Linked DNA regions of Cricetulus griseus. The protein of the gene in region 3 interacts with the protein of the main gene of each other region in a pairwise test. Links are inferred from orthologs where the notes say so. Each region holds a gene or a part of one and is shown on either strand. Other genes may lie near its edges.

Region 1 (3,500 bases), on a different chromosome or scaffold from region 3:
TCGGATCTGATGTAAAGGTAAGAGTTGGACAATCTGTCCACTGGGGTGCCTGAATAGGTTCATTCCACTTGGGCTCCTAACAGGTTGTAAGACCATCCGCTGTCCCTGAAGCTGTGGGTTTGGGATTGGTCTAAGTGTAGGAGAACCCTGCTGCACTGGAATCAGCAACAATCGAGGTCCAGTACGTTTCACGCTGTTAGGAGACATCTGTGGAGTAGTCACTGGATTTTGAGTGCTATTTTCTGAAAAACAGAAAAATGAGAAGCTACTATAAGAATTTATCTTTCAGAATACATGGGCAAAAATGTGACACTAGATCTAATAATACTGCAAGTAATGTCTCACTTGAATTATGATGTTAATGAAATTCTGTCCTGCTATAGTATACTATTCATAGCTAAGAATATAATTCATTTTATTTTTATCTTTTTAGTGGTTCACGCCTTTAATCCCAGCACTTGGGAAACAGAGGCAGGTGGATCTGAGTTCAAGGCCAGTCTGTTCTATGGAGCGAGTTCCAGGACAGCTGGTGCTACACAGAGAAACCCTGTCCCAAAAAACAAAAACAAGACATTTCAAATCATTAATAGTACCAAATGAGATTTAATGTTTAGAAGAGCTATTCAGAAATACAAGGCGAAAATGATAGTATTTTAGAATTATGGGGTAAAGAAATGGGTATAATATAATGGTAAGTACAAACAAAACTGATCTACTAGTAGTTCAAATTAGTACACTTACCTGATATTGCTACTAAATATCTCAAGTTTGCTATTTTATTATCTGTGAAAATAATATTACTCAATTTGAACAAAAAACATGCATCTGAGGGCTAGAGAGATGGCTCAGAGATTGCAGCTCCTGCAGAAGACAGTTCAATTCCTGGCAACCATGTTGGGAAGCTCAAAAACTGCCTGTAACTCAAACTTCAAGGAATCAAAAGCCTCTTCTAGCCTTCAATGATACATGCATAAAGGCACATAGATCTCTCATGTTAAGAGCATTGGCTGCTCTCTAGAGAAGCCAGGCTTACCTAGATGGCAACTTACAACTATCTGTATCTCCAGTCCCAGGGGAATGCAACATCCTCTTCTGGCCTCCATGGGCACTGCACACATCTGGTGCACAGACACACGCAGGCAAAACACCCATACATATTTTTTAAAAAGGAACCTTAGGCCGGATGGTGCTGATGCACAGCTTTAATACCAGCCAGCACTCAGGAGGCAGAGGTAGGTGGATCTCTGTGAATTCGAGACCAGCCTGGTCTACAAGAGCTAGTTCCAGGACAGCCTCCAAAGCCACAGAGAAACCCTGTCTGGGGGTGGGGGGTGGGGGTACAGGAAGGAAGGAAAGCAGGCAGGCAGGCAGGCAAGCCTCTGGAAGCACTCACTGCATGTATGTGGTCCATAGACATACATGCAGGCAAAACACTATACATATAAAAATCTATAAAAAAATTATCAAAATAAATAAGTGTACCATTTTAGAAAATGTCACTGCTGTACATGTTCTTAGAAATGCAGTAACATTTTCCGAGGGAGGGAGGGGAAGAGTAATGCCCACTCCAGCAGCTGTACATGAAATTCCCTCCTTAAAGATGAGCAACCCTAAGCTCTTATCATATAGTATGTTGCACTTCCTCCATGTCATTTTAATGGCTGTTCTAATGGCTCAGAACTTTGGTCCTATTTACATCATTTAATGTCCTTCAGCAATCATTTCCACTCTAATGTTTTTGAATTTTTAGTATTTCCTGGGGGTAAATTCTACTCCTACTAACCTATCAATCAGATTATCTCTAGAAAACATCTGATTCTTATAATCAAGAATCTGACTACAAAACTATACAGATAGCCAGGTGGTGGTGGCGCACGCCTTTAATCCTAGCACTTGGGAGGCAGAGGCAGGCAGATCTCTGAGTTGGAGGCTAGCCTGGTCTACAGAGTGAGTTCCAGGACAGGTTCCAAAGTTAAGAGAGAAACCCTGTCTCAAAAAACAAAAACAAAAACAAAACCAAAAAACAAAAACAAAACAAACAAACAAAAAAATTGTACTGATAATCTGATCATTCCTGATCCTACAACTAGCCATAAACTCTGTTAATTTTAGCGTTCAGATTTGTAGAATTCTAAGGTTTTAAGAATGGTAACATATGGGGCTGGAGAGATGGCTCAGAGGATAAGAGCGCTGCCTGCTCTTCCAGAGGTTCTGAGTTCAATTCCCAGCAATCACATGGTGGCTCACAATTCTCTGTAATGAGATCTGGCGCACTCTCTGACCTGCAGGCCTACATGTAGGCAGAACATTGTATACATAATAAATAAATCTTAAAAAAAAAAAAAGGTAACATATCATACTTGGCCAAAATATATACAGAGTTACTCTAAAATGTATTCAGGCATATCTAAACTAGTGCCTGCATGCATTTTAAGATAGGGCCAGGTGTTGGTGGTGCACGCCTTTAATCCCAGCACTCGGGAGGCAGAGGCAGTCGGATCGCTGTGAGTTCGAGGCCAGCCTGGTCTCCAGAGCGAGTGCCAGGATAGGCTCCAAAGCTACACAGAGAAACCCTGTCTTGAAAACCAAAAAGAAAGAAAGAAAGAAAGGAAGGAAGGAAGGAAGGAAGGAATACAGCCCAACACATTTATAGATGACAATGTCAAAACTGGAAACTCCTAATTTTATTACAACTGGCAAATTCTATTAAATAGCTTTACAATAAAGCATATGAAGCCAGGTGGTGGTGGTAGCACATGCCTTTAATCCCAGCACTCTGGAGGCAGAGGCAGGTTGATCTCTGAGCTCAAGGCCATCATAGACAGTAGAGCAAATTCCAGGATAACCAGGGCTACACAGAAAAACACTGTCTAGAAAAACCAACAGATTAGATTAGATAGATAGATAGATAGATAGATAGATAGATAGATAGAGACATGAATGAATGAATGAATGAATGAATAAGCAAGCAAGCAGATGAAAACAACTAGTCCTTACCTGGTGGTCTCTGGCTCACTGGTGGGCTTCCATTAATTCCTGAGAGTATAATAGGTACAGAACTCAGTGATGAAGTTGGTGTGGTCACCACAGAGGAAGATGCAGCTGTGGTAACCACAACTATGGAGGTGGAGGCAGTGGAAGCAACAGGAAGAGATATGGTTGGAGATGCTACCAATGATTTAGGAAATGCAACTGAAGCCACAGGGCTAGTACTTGTCCCAGTAGTTTTGATAAGGTTCACAGTAGCTGTAGACTGGGTAGATGTTATAGGGGTAGTGTTATTAGTTTCAGCGATCTCAACAACTCCAGCATCAGAGGCACCAGAAGAATAAGTAGCTTCTTTAGCTCCCACATCAGAAATAGCAGACATAGATGTCACAGCAGTAGCATTTTCTAAAAACACTTGAGGGGAAGAAGTGACAGCAGCAGTCACAGTGCTGCACACCTGAACTGGCTCAGAAGAAACCACAGGCGTGACGACCATTACTGGAGAAGGCCTG
Region 2 (3,500 bases), on a different chromosome or scaffold from region 3:
TATTTATCTTTTTGGAAAATGAGAAGTGTAAATTGCCACATTATGATTTGATTGTCTTTTTCTCCAAGAGTAGTAGTAGTAATACATCATCACTAAGAAAAACTTCAAACAGGCCAATGAGATGGCTCAGCAGGTAAAGGTGCTTGCCACCAACTCTGATGACCCGAGTTAGATCCCAAGGACCCACAGGGCAGAAGGCAAAAACCAACCTCTGCATGTTATCCTGACTTCCACCAGTGTTATGGTGTTTGAACACACACACATGGGGAGGAGGGGGAGATTTAATAAATAAAAATGTCTTAAAAGTTTAAAATAGCCGGGCATTGGTGGCGCATGCCTTTAATCCCAGCACTCTGGAGGCAGAGGCAGGCAGATCTCTGTGAGTTCCAGGCCAGCCTGGTCTCCAGAGTGTGTGCCAGGATAGGCTTCAAAGCTACACAGAGAAACCCTGTCTCGAAAAAACCAAAAAAAAAAAAAAAAAAAAAAAAAAATTAAAATAAATAATGTGATTTAAAAAAAAAAAAAACTTCAACTAGAGAAAGAGGACACTGCCTTTCAATTGGCCTTCTTCAGGACTGTCCAATGTGCATGCATTTGTACAGACACCCATCACACACACACCCAGCTGGAGGGTCTTTGTGCTCCCTACAGAGATTATAAGGGCCATAGGAGGGCAAGCAGTTCAGGACAAGCGTAACGCCATATACAATGGCAACTTTTCTCATCACTCCCACAGAAAGGCAGGCCTCAGCCACCCAAGCAAGTTTCTCTACACTTTATCACCTACCTTGATCAATGACCCAGAGTGTGAGGCTGTTGTTGGGGTCCTTTGGAGATTTCCGGGGTACCATTTTAATTAGGAGGGTCAGGGCATTGTCACGGCCCTGGCCAGAGACTCCTGCCTCAGTCAGTAGCTCCAAGAGGTTACTAATGAGGACCTTCAGCTCCCGGGCAGGATCTGGCAACAATACACACTACTGATCGATGTGTAAGGCTATGACATTATGGGTTCAGTCCTCCGCACATCAGACAAAGCAGCACAAGGGAAATGTTATATTAGTGAACTCTACAGTGACACAGCCCTGTGTGACAGTTGAACTCCTCAACAGCCAGAGCGGCACAGGCAAAGGAGGCTTCCCTCCTGGGTTCTGAGCTGAGCCTAGCTTTTTCCTCAAGCACTTGGCTATTAGAATCTAAGGCATGAGAGCTCGATTCCACAGTGAGACTTTGTCTCAGCAAAACAAAAGAATCTAGGGTAAAATATCACCACTAAGCCCCATTCCATCCATCCCTCCACAACAGTACCATCCAAGGGACCAGACCTGCTTCCACTCACCCACAATAATGGCACCTTCTTTGCCTCTGAAGCCTTTCTTGACGCCTTCCTTGAGGGCATCAAACATAACCTGCAGCAGGTGGCAGGCTGCCAGTGATACGGCCTGGTTCTCCACACCCAGGATGGAGACTACTCTCCGAGTTCCCAGGACACTCAGGGTTGCCACTGTCTAGGTTGGGAAAGAATTGGACAGAGGCTTGGTTGGTAAAGGGCAGCCATGGTGATTCCTAACAGTGAGTTAGTGAGTGTGGCCAGAAAGTGAGCAAACACCTGGGTGGATGGGGCAGCTCCAAGTGAAAAGGGAAGTAAGTCTAATAGTATGACCTGTGTCATGCTGTGCTTCCTGTTAGAAAGGGTCTAAAGAAGGCACCCCATTTGGTAGTGGTGGCATACACCTGCAGTCCTAGACAGAGACAGAATAGCAGCCAGCTCCGGGACAGCCAAGACTATGTCTTGGCTATGCCTGACAATGAGGAGGAGGAGGAGATATTGCAGAGTCCTCATCCACCTCTGCTCTCTATAGTTGGAGCGAAGACAAACCCCAGGAGCAGCTATTTGGTCTCATGTCTCCTCCAGGAGAAAACACACCTGGACAAAGCATCCTGTTAGATGCAAGCACCTTCCCAAACCCAGCAGTAGGGTCTGTGCACACCTCAGGGTGTGAATACACATGGGGCAGACCTGCAAGGCCTCTCCATCTTTCTTCTAAGCTAGAGAACCTAGGAGGCCTGATGGGCTTATCCCAGCTCACACAGACCTGGGGCACAGGATACACATGGTTTTACTATTCTAAATATAGCCCAGGCTTGGCCTCAAGAGATTTCACTGACTACTTCACAATCTACCCTTCTTGGAACTGGAGATTCCTCTAAAAGCAATCAAGGAGTCCAGCAATGCAGCACGTGCTGAAATCCCAGAGGGACCGTGAGTTCAAGGCAGCCCAGACTACATAAGAAGACCCTGACTCCCAATGTACACATAACTGATCAACCAGAGACCAAGTCCCTATTTGCTGGGTCCAGCGAGCACAAGCAAGAGCAGGGGCATGGACTTTTCAGGCCCAGGAGTAGGGCCATTCTTGTGGCACTGTCCATGCTGCTAACCAGGTCACTATCTCTAAGGCAGATATGCTGTTGGTGACATCACGGGTCTCTCCTCTCCAGAGGAAAGGAATCCAACCTTTGGAATGGACAAAACCTCTTTCTGAGCAGCCCTGAGTGGGCAGTGACCAGGTCTCTGTGAACTGGCTTCAGGACAGTAATGATCAAGGTATAGGAGGCTACGTTTGTCCTTTTCGGTCCTACTCCATCCTAATTTGTGTGTATCCTTTCTGTCCTTTTAATTGTTGCCCATAGTTGAGTAGCTCCTATCTGTGCTTTCAGCTCTTTTGGGAAAAAGATGGGGGAGTGAAAGAGTAGATGGGTAGATAAAATTAATAGACAAATGGACAGAGAAACAGACTAAGGCAATAACTAGACCTCTCCACACTACCTACCCGAGACTGGTGCTCAGAGCAAATGCCGACCAGTGTGCGCAGGGCTGCCAGCATCAGGTCAGTCTCTCCTGTGTCCAACAGGCGTTGCAGGAGCTGAACCCCATTGCTCCGGAAGATCTTCTCGGCTCCTGCATCCTCTCGGGCCAGTACCACAAGGTTCTGAGAAGCCTACGCCAGAGGAAGTACATACTAATGTTGACACTACAGACATCCAAAAGCAGGGCAGGCAGCGAGGCCCTGAGCTCTGGGCCTCACTGCTTCTTCTTAGCCAGCCATAAATTTCACCCTTTGGAACTTCGGCTTCCTTCTCTTCAAGTAGAAAGGAGAGCTTGGTCTTGTGGGTGATGGTTAGAGTGGGGTCCCTAGCAGGGCTTCAAGAGCAAGGGCAGCACCTCAGTCACACTGTATGCCAGCTCCTGGCTCTAGGGTGACCACCAAGGTGCTCTGTGAACACTAATTCCCTTTCCTTGCTTCACACCAAGGACTCAAGGCCAGCAGGACTTCTGAGGTCCATACTGGTGAGCAAAGGGGTATGTATGGAAGCCCTAGAGGCTCACTCCAGGACCTGTACCTTCTGCTTCTTCTCTGTGCCTTTCTCTTTGGGGTCCAACAGTATCTGAAACATCTGTTCTACTTTGGCATCTGTTGAGGACATGTACCGCACCTATG
Region 3 (4,186 bases):
AAGTTTCTGCCTTCAATAGTCAGGGATAAAACCTATTTTCACTTGGGCTGGAGTGATGGCTCAGAGGTTAAGAGCACTGACTGTTTTTCCAGGGGTCCTGAGTTCATTTCCCAGCAACCACAACCATCTGTTGGCTCACAACCATCTGTTATGAGGTCCAGTGCCCTATTCTGATGTGCAGATATACATGGAAGCAGAATGTTGTATACGTAATAAATAAATAGATAGATAGATAGATAAAATGTAAAACAAAACAAAACAAAACAAAACTGTTTTCACTCAGGAATCAGTAACTCATAGCCCAAACCCAAGACTTCATTCATTTTGGAAACCAGTTGTAAATTAACCAGTTTGGTTAATTTCTCTGGTGATAGAAGGTGCCTTTATTATTTTTCTTTCATCAAGGAAGGACCTGGTGCACACTGAAAATGGTGGCAGGGTAGTCCGGTTTTCGCTTCCACAAGCTGTGAGATCTTTGAGGGGCCCTGTTCAGTCGTACCCATCACGGCATGCCTGTTCTGCCACATTAGATAATAAATACTGGTGGGATGTAGTCATGCTTCATACCTCGGTGTATAAATATGACTTTGGTTGGACAGGGAGCCGCACAACTTTCCCGTTTTTATTCTTTCTGCAGTTCTTAATTAAGGTTCTCCCGCACTGGGGCACTCCTTCATCTGCATGGGCTACGACAAACAGTTGGGTTTTATTTACTTCCACCTAAGCGAGATTTTGTAAACATTCAAGCCGAGTAAGGACGGTCCTCTCGGACAAATGAAAGCAAAATTCTTGGGACTAAGTGTACCCCGGCGAGGCAGGTCCTTTAGCTTGTCCTGTATCGCCTCTTAACTCCCCCAAACTAGATCCCGAGGGTCCGCGTGGGCATCCCGACCGCGCCCCCTGGCCAGCAGCAGCTTGATTCCTTCCCGTGAGGGTTACGCCCCAGGGCGCAAGTGGAGCGACTCAAGCGTTAAACAAGACAATGTAAAAGCAGTCTAGCCAAGAAGAGACAGTGTTATTTTGGCAGCTAGCTTCTCCCCCTGAGCCTCCACCCAATCCCTTGGGCCAGGCGCCCAGAGCTCAGACTGTGGCCGGCTCCAGAAGCCCAGCTCCCTCCACGTGTCCTGTCTTCCCAGCAGCCTCTCCGCCGCTTGGGGAGGAAAATCTCCTGACAACTCGCGGTCTGTGGACTACATCTCCCGGGAGGCACCGCGCCACTTCTCGCACCCACCACCGGCGCGCACGCGCCCTGCGCTCTGTCAACAAGCGGGGCTGGTGAAGATTGTGTGCGCTTCCTGATGGGATTTGTAGTTTCTCCGGCGCTCTCCGACCTGCCCATCAGACGCTCGAGGACTACAAGTCTCGGCTCTCCCGGCGCGGAGAGTCCGGTCACGTGTCAGGGGGCCGACCGGGCGTGCGTGCCGCCGTTGATCGGGTGCTGCAGTGAGGTGGTTGTCGCCCGTGTTGTGTGTGTGTGAGTGTGTGTGAGTGAGTGAGTGAGTGAGTGAGTGTGTGCGTGGGGGCACTCGGCTTGTTGTTGTCGGTGACTTCCCCCTTCCCTCCACCCCTCCCCTCCCCGGCCGCCGCTGCAGTGGCCGCTCCCTGGGCCGTAGGAAATGAGCGATAACGATGACATCGAGGTGGAGAGCGACGTGAGTCCCGGGGCTTCTTCCTTTCCGTTCGGGTTGTCAGGCGGGGACAGCGGCCGGGGCCCTCAGCGGGGCGACGGCGGGAGGGGGCCGGGTCGCCGCCGCCTCCGTCCCCTTCCCCCGGGGCCGGGACCGCCTGCGTCGCGCTCCGCGCTCGCTCCCCTCCAGTCCTGTCCGGAGAGGCCTCCTGGGACTGAAGGTGGGAGCAGACACGCGGCCTCTGGGACCCCCACCTCCTCCCGTGGAGGAGGGTGCCGAGGCCTCCCTCTCCACTCTATCCGGCTGGGGATCCCATTATCCGTCCGGATCCTGGGCAAGGAGACCAGCGCTCAGGACCTGCTTCTTGGGTCCACGATCTCCTTTTACCCGTGGACCCGTTGATCCTGGGGGTGAGGGGACTGGGAGTGAGTGCTCTGACTCCCGAGGGGGGTCCGGGGAGAGCAGTGTGCTCCGGACCCCTCTTGTCCGGTTCGGATGCCAGAAAGAGGGGCGGCGCCTGGGACCCCCACCAGGCTGCGGGATCCCGCTGGAGAGAGTGGAGGGGAAAGAGGGAGGGAGGGGTGTCGGGCTGACTCCCCACCCGCTGCTTCCTCCGCCGCCGGCATTTTCTTTCTTATTATTGAATTCGAAGTGTAAAAATAACTTCTATATTTTCTATTTTTTTTTCTCTCTTATTCCAGGAAGAGCAACCGAGGTTTCAATCTGCGGTACGTCTCCTACTCTCCATTTCATTTTCATTTCCGTTCAGTTTTGGTCCTTTTTGGAGTCAGAGAGAAAAAGTGATCGTTCTTTATTTTTTAATATTCTTGTAAACTCTCCTCTTAACCGCTAAGGTGAGGTGGAGTCAGCTGGGGTTGGAGGTGGGGGGGTGGGGGGCTGCAAATCCTATGATTCTGGCTTCTCAGGTGGTAGATCCTAGTGAGTAGGTAGGTGAGTGAGAGAGCGAGCCCCATGCTAAAACTGAGTTGTTCTGGAGTGTTCAGTTAAGGATGCAGCCCAGGCACGTGAGAAGTGAAGGGTAGTGTTATTTCAGAGCAGACTTACAGGTCAGGTTTACTTAGGAGCAAGTAAGCTTTAAGCACTATCTGCACAGTTGTGTGAAGCTGCAAGCACAGTAATAATCGCCTTTAGCCAAAGTCACATGACTGCCACCACAGACTCTTAAAACTAGAAAAGCATGCTATTCTCAACAATAGCAACAACAACAAAATAGAAACAGGGAGGAGCCAGAAGTTAAATCTTGAAAGTGTCACAGCTTCTTGTGGTCTGACTTTCCATTTGAGAAGAAAAAAAAAAAAAAAGGTTGAAAAGTGGCATTGTAGGAGACAGCTACGCTAAAAGGTGTCCGGATGAGTCCATACAGTGTTACCAGTAACTTCTTAGGGTTTTGATGTTAAAGCTTTTTGTAGGTGTCTCTCTGGTGGATTTGGGTTGACACCATGAGCTCTTGTCTTTAGAGTCTGAGACTTAGTAGTAAATGGGTATAGATTAGGGAGAGGGAAGAAGACTGAGAATACATCCAGATCAGAAGAGAGACGACAAGTGTTATATTTGATAGTTGGCAATGGTGAAAAGGGTGTACAGGGAGGGCCATAATGCCTTTGCCTGTGGGGATTAGGTAATGAGGTAGTCAAGGATAGAGGGAGAGGTAAGGACTGGGATACTGAGGAATGCATGCCCCTTGTAGAAAGTCCGAAGCCACCTAGCTCTGGTGCTTGCTGTATGAGAGTGAGCTCAGTGTTGCTAGGTCTTATTGTTATTTCAGGGCTGGGGTTAGACCCTTTACCACTGAGCCACACTCCCTCGATTTTCCTACTTTAAGAGAAATGTTAAAATGCTAGAAACAGATTATTATTTTTCCAGTGTATTTGCGTGTAGTTTTTGGCTATTCTGGGACTTGAACCCAGGGCCCTCGGCATGCCCGGGGCCTGGCTATAACCTCAGCCTACTCAATTGATTTTTTAAGGTTACATTCACTTATTTAATGTGTGTTTGTGATTGTGTGCATGCCATGGCTCACATGTAACGGTCAGAGGACAACTTGAGGGAGTGGGGTTTCTCCTTCCAGCATGTGGGTCTGGGGTTGAACTTAGGATCATCAGGTTTGGCCTCAACAACTTTACCCACGAAGCTATTTGATTTTTAAATGATATGTGGAACAGCTGTTTGGGGGCTTATAGAGAATTAGCTGGATGCAACTAGGCTTGGTTGCCCAGTCCCGTGAACGCCCTTACTCGGGATGCCGAGGTAGGAAGATCAGAAGTTCAGGCCTGTTTTCAGCAATTTATTGAGGCCCAGCCTTAACATACCAAAAAAAAAAAAAAAAAAGAGTCCACGGTTGTATCCAGTTCTGTAGGCCCAGTGCTTAGGAGGCTTTGGCAGAGGGTTGCCCTGGTTTAGAGGCTGGCCTGAGCTACAGAATGAGATTCTGTCTCAAACAAACAAGAGCTCTCTACCTTTGTCTCTCTCTCTCGCTTGGGAATTTAGCTCCTTAGGACACTTAACTTTCAGTAGGCCCTGGTTCATCCCTAGCACTG

Evidence for each region. The genes of interacting proteins can lie anywhere in the genome.
Region 1: the proteins of Max (region 3) and Mga interact in binary tests that used the Homo sapiens proteins (3 or more experiments, as listed by UniProt). The link is inferred for Cricetulus griseus from reciprocal best matches to the Homo sapiens genes MAX and MGA.
Region 2: the proteins of Max (region 3) and Unc45a interact in binary tests that used the Homo sapiens proteins (3 or more experiments, as listed by UniProt). The two-hybrid records come from large-scale screens. The link is inferred for Cricetulus griseus from reciprocal best matches to the Homo sapiens genes MAX and UNC45A.

What each region holds. Positions count from the first base shown.
Region 1 is NC_048599.1:58,545,504-58,549,003, forward strand, and holds part of Mga (MAX gene-associated protein), read right to left. Parts: coding exon 2,998-3,500; intron 243-2,997; coding exon 1-242. UniProt on the Homo sapiens protein: Functions as a dual-specificity transcription factor, regulating the expression of both MAX-network and T-box family target genes. Functions as a repressor or an activator.
Region 2 is NC_048596.1:117,270,347-117,273,846, reverse strand, and holds part of Unc45a (protein unc-45 homolog A), read right to left. Parts: intron 3,496-3,500; coding exon 3,403-3,495; intron 3,000-3,402; coding exon 2,832-2,999; intron 1,506-2,831; coding exon 1,337-1,505; intron 959-1,336; coding exon 788-958; intron 1-787.
Region 3 is NC_048598.1:126,561,405-126,565,590, forward strand, and holds the start of Max (protein max), read left to right. Parts: upstream 1-1,386; 5' UTR 1,387-1,616; coding exon 1,617-1,652; intron 1,653-2,329; coding exon 2,330-2,356; intron 2,357-4,186. UniProt on the Homo sapiens protein: Transcription regulator. Forms a sequence-specific DNA-binding protein complex with MYC or MAD which recognizes the core sequence 5'-CAC[GA]TG-3'. The MYC:MAX complex is a transcriptional activator, whereas the MAD:MAX complex is a repressor.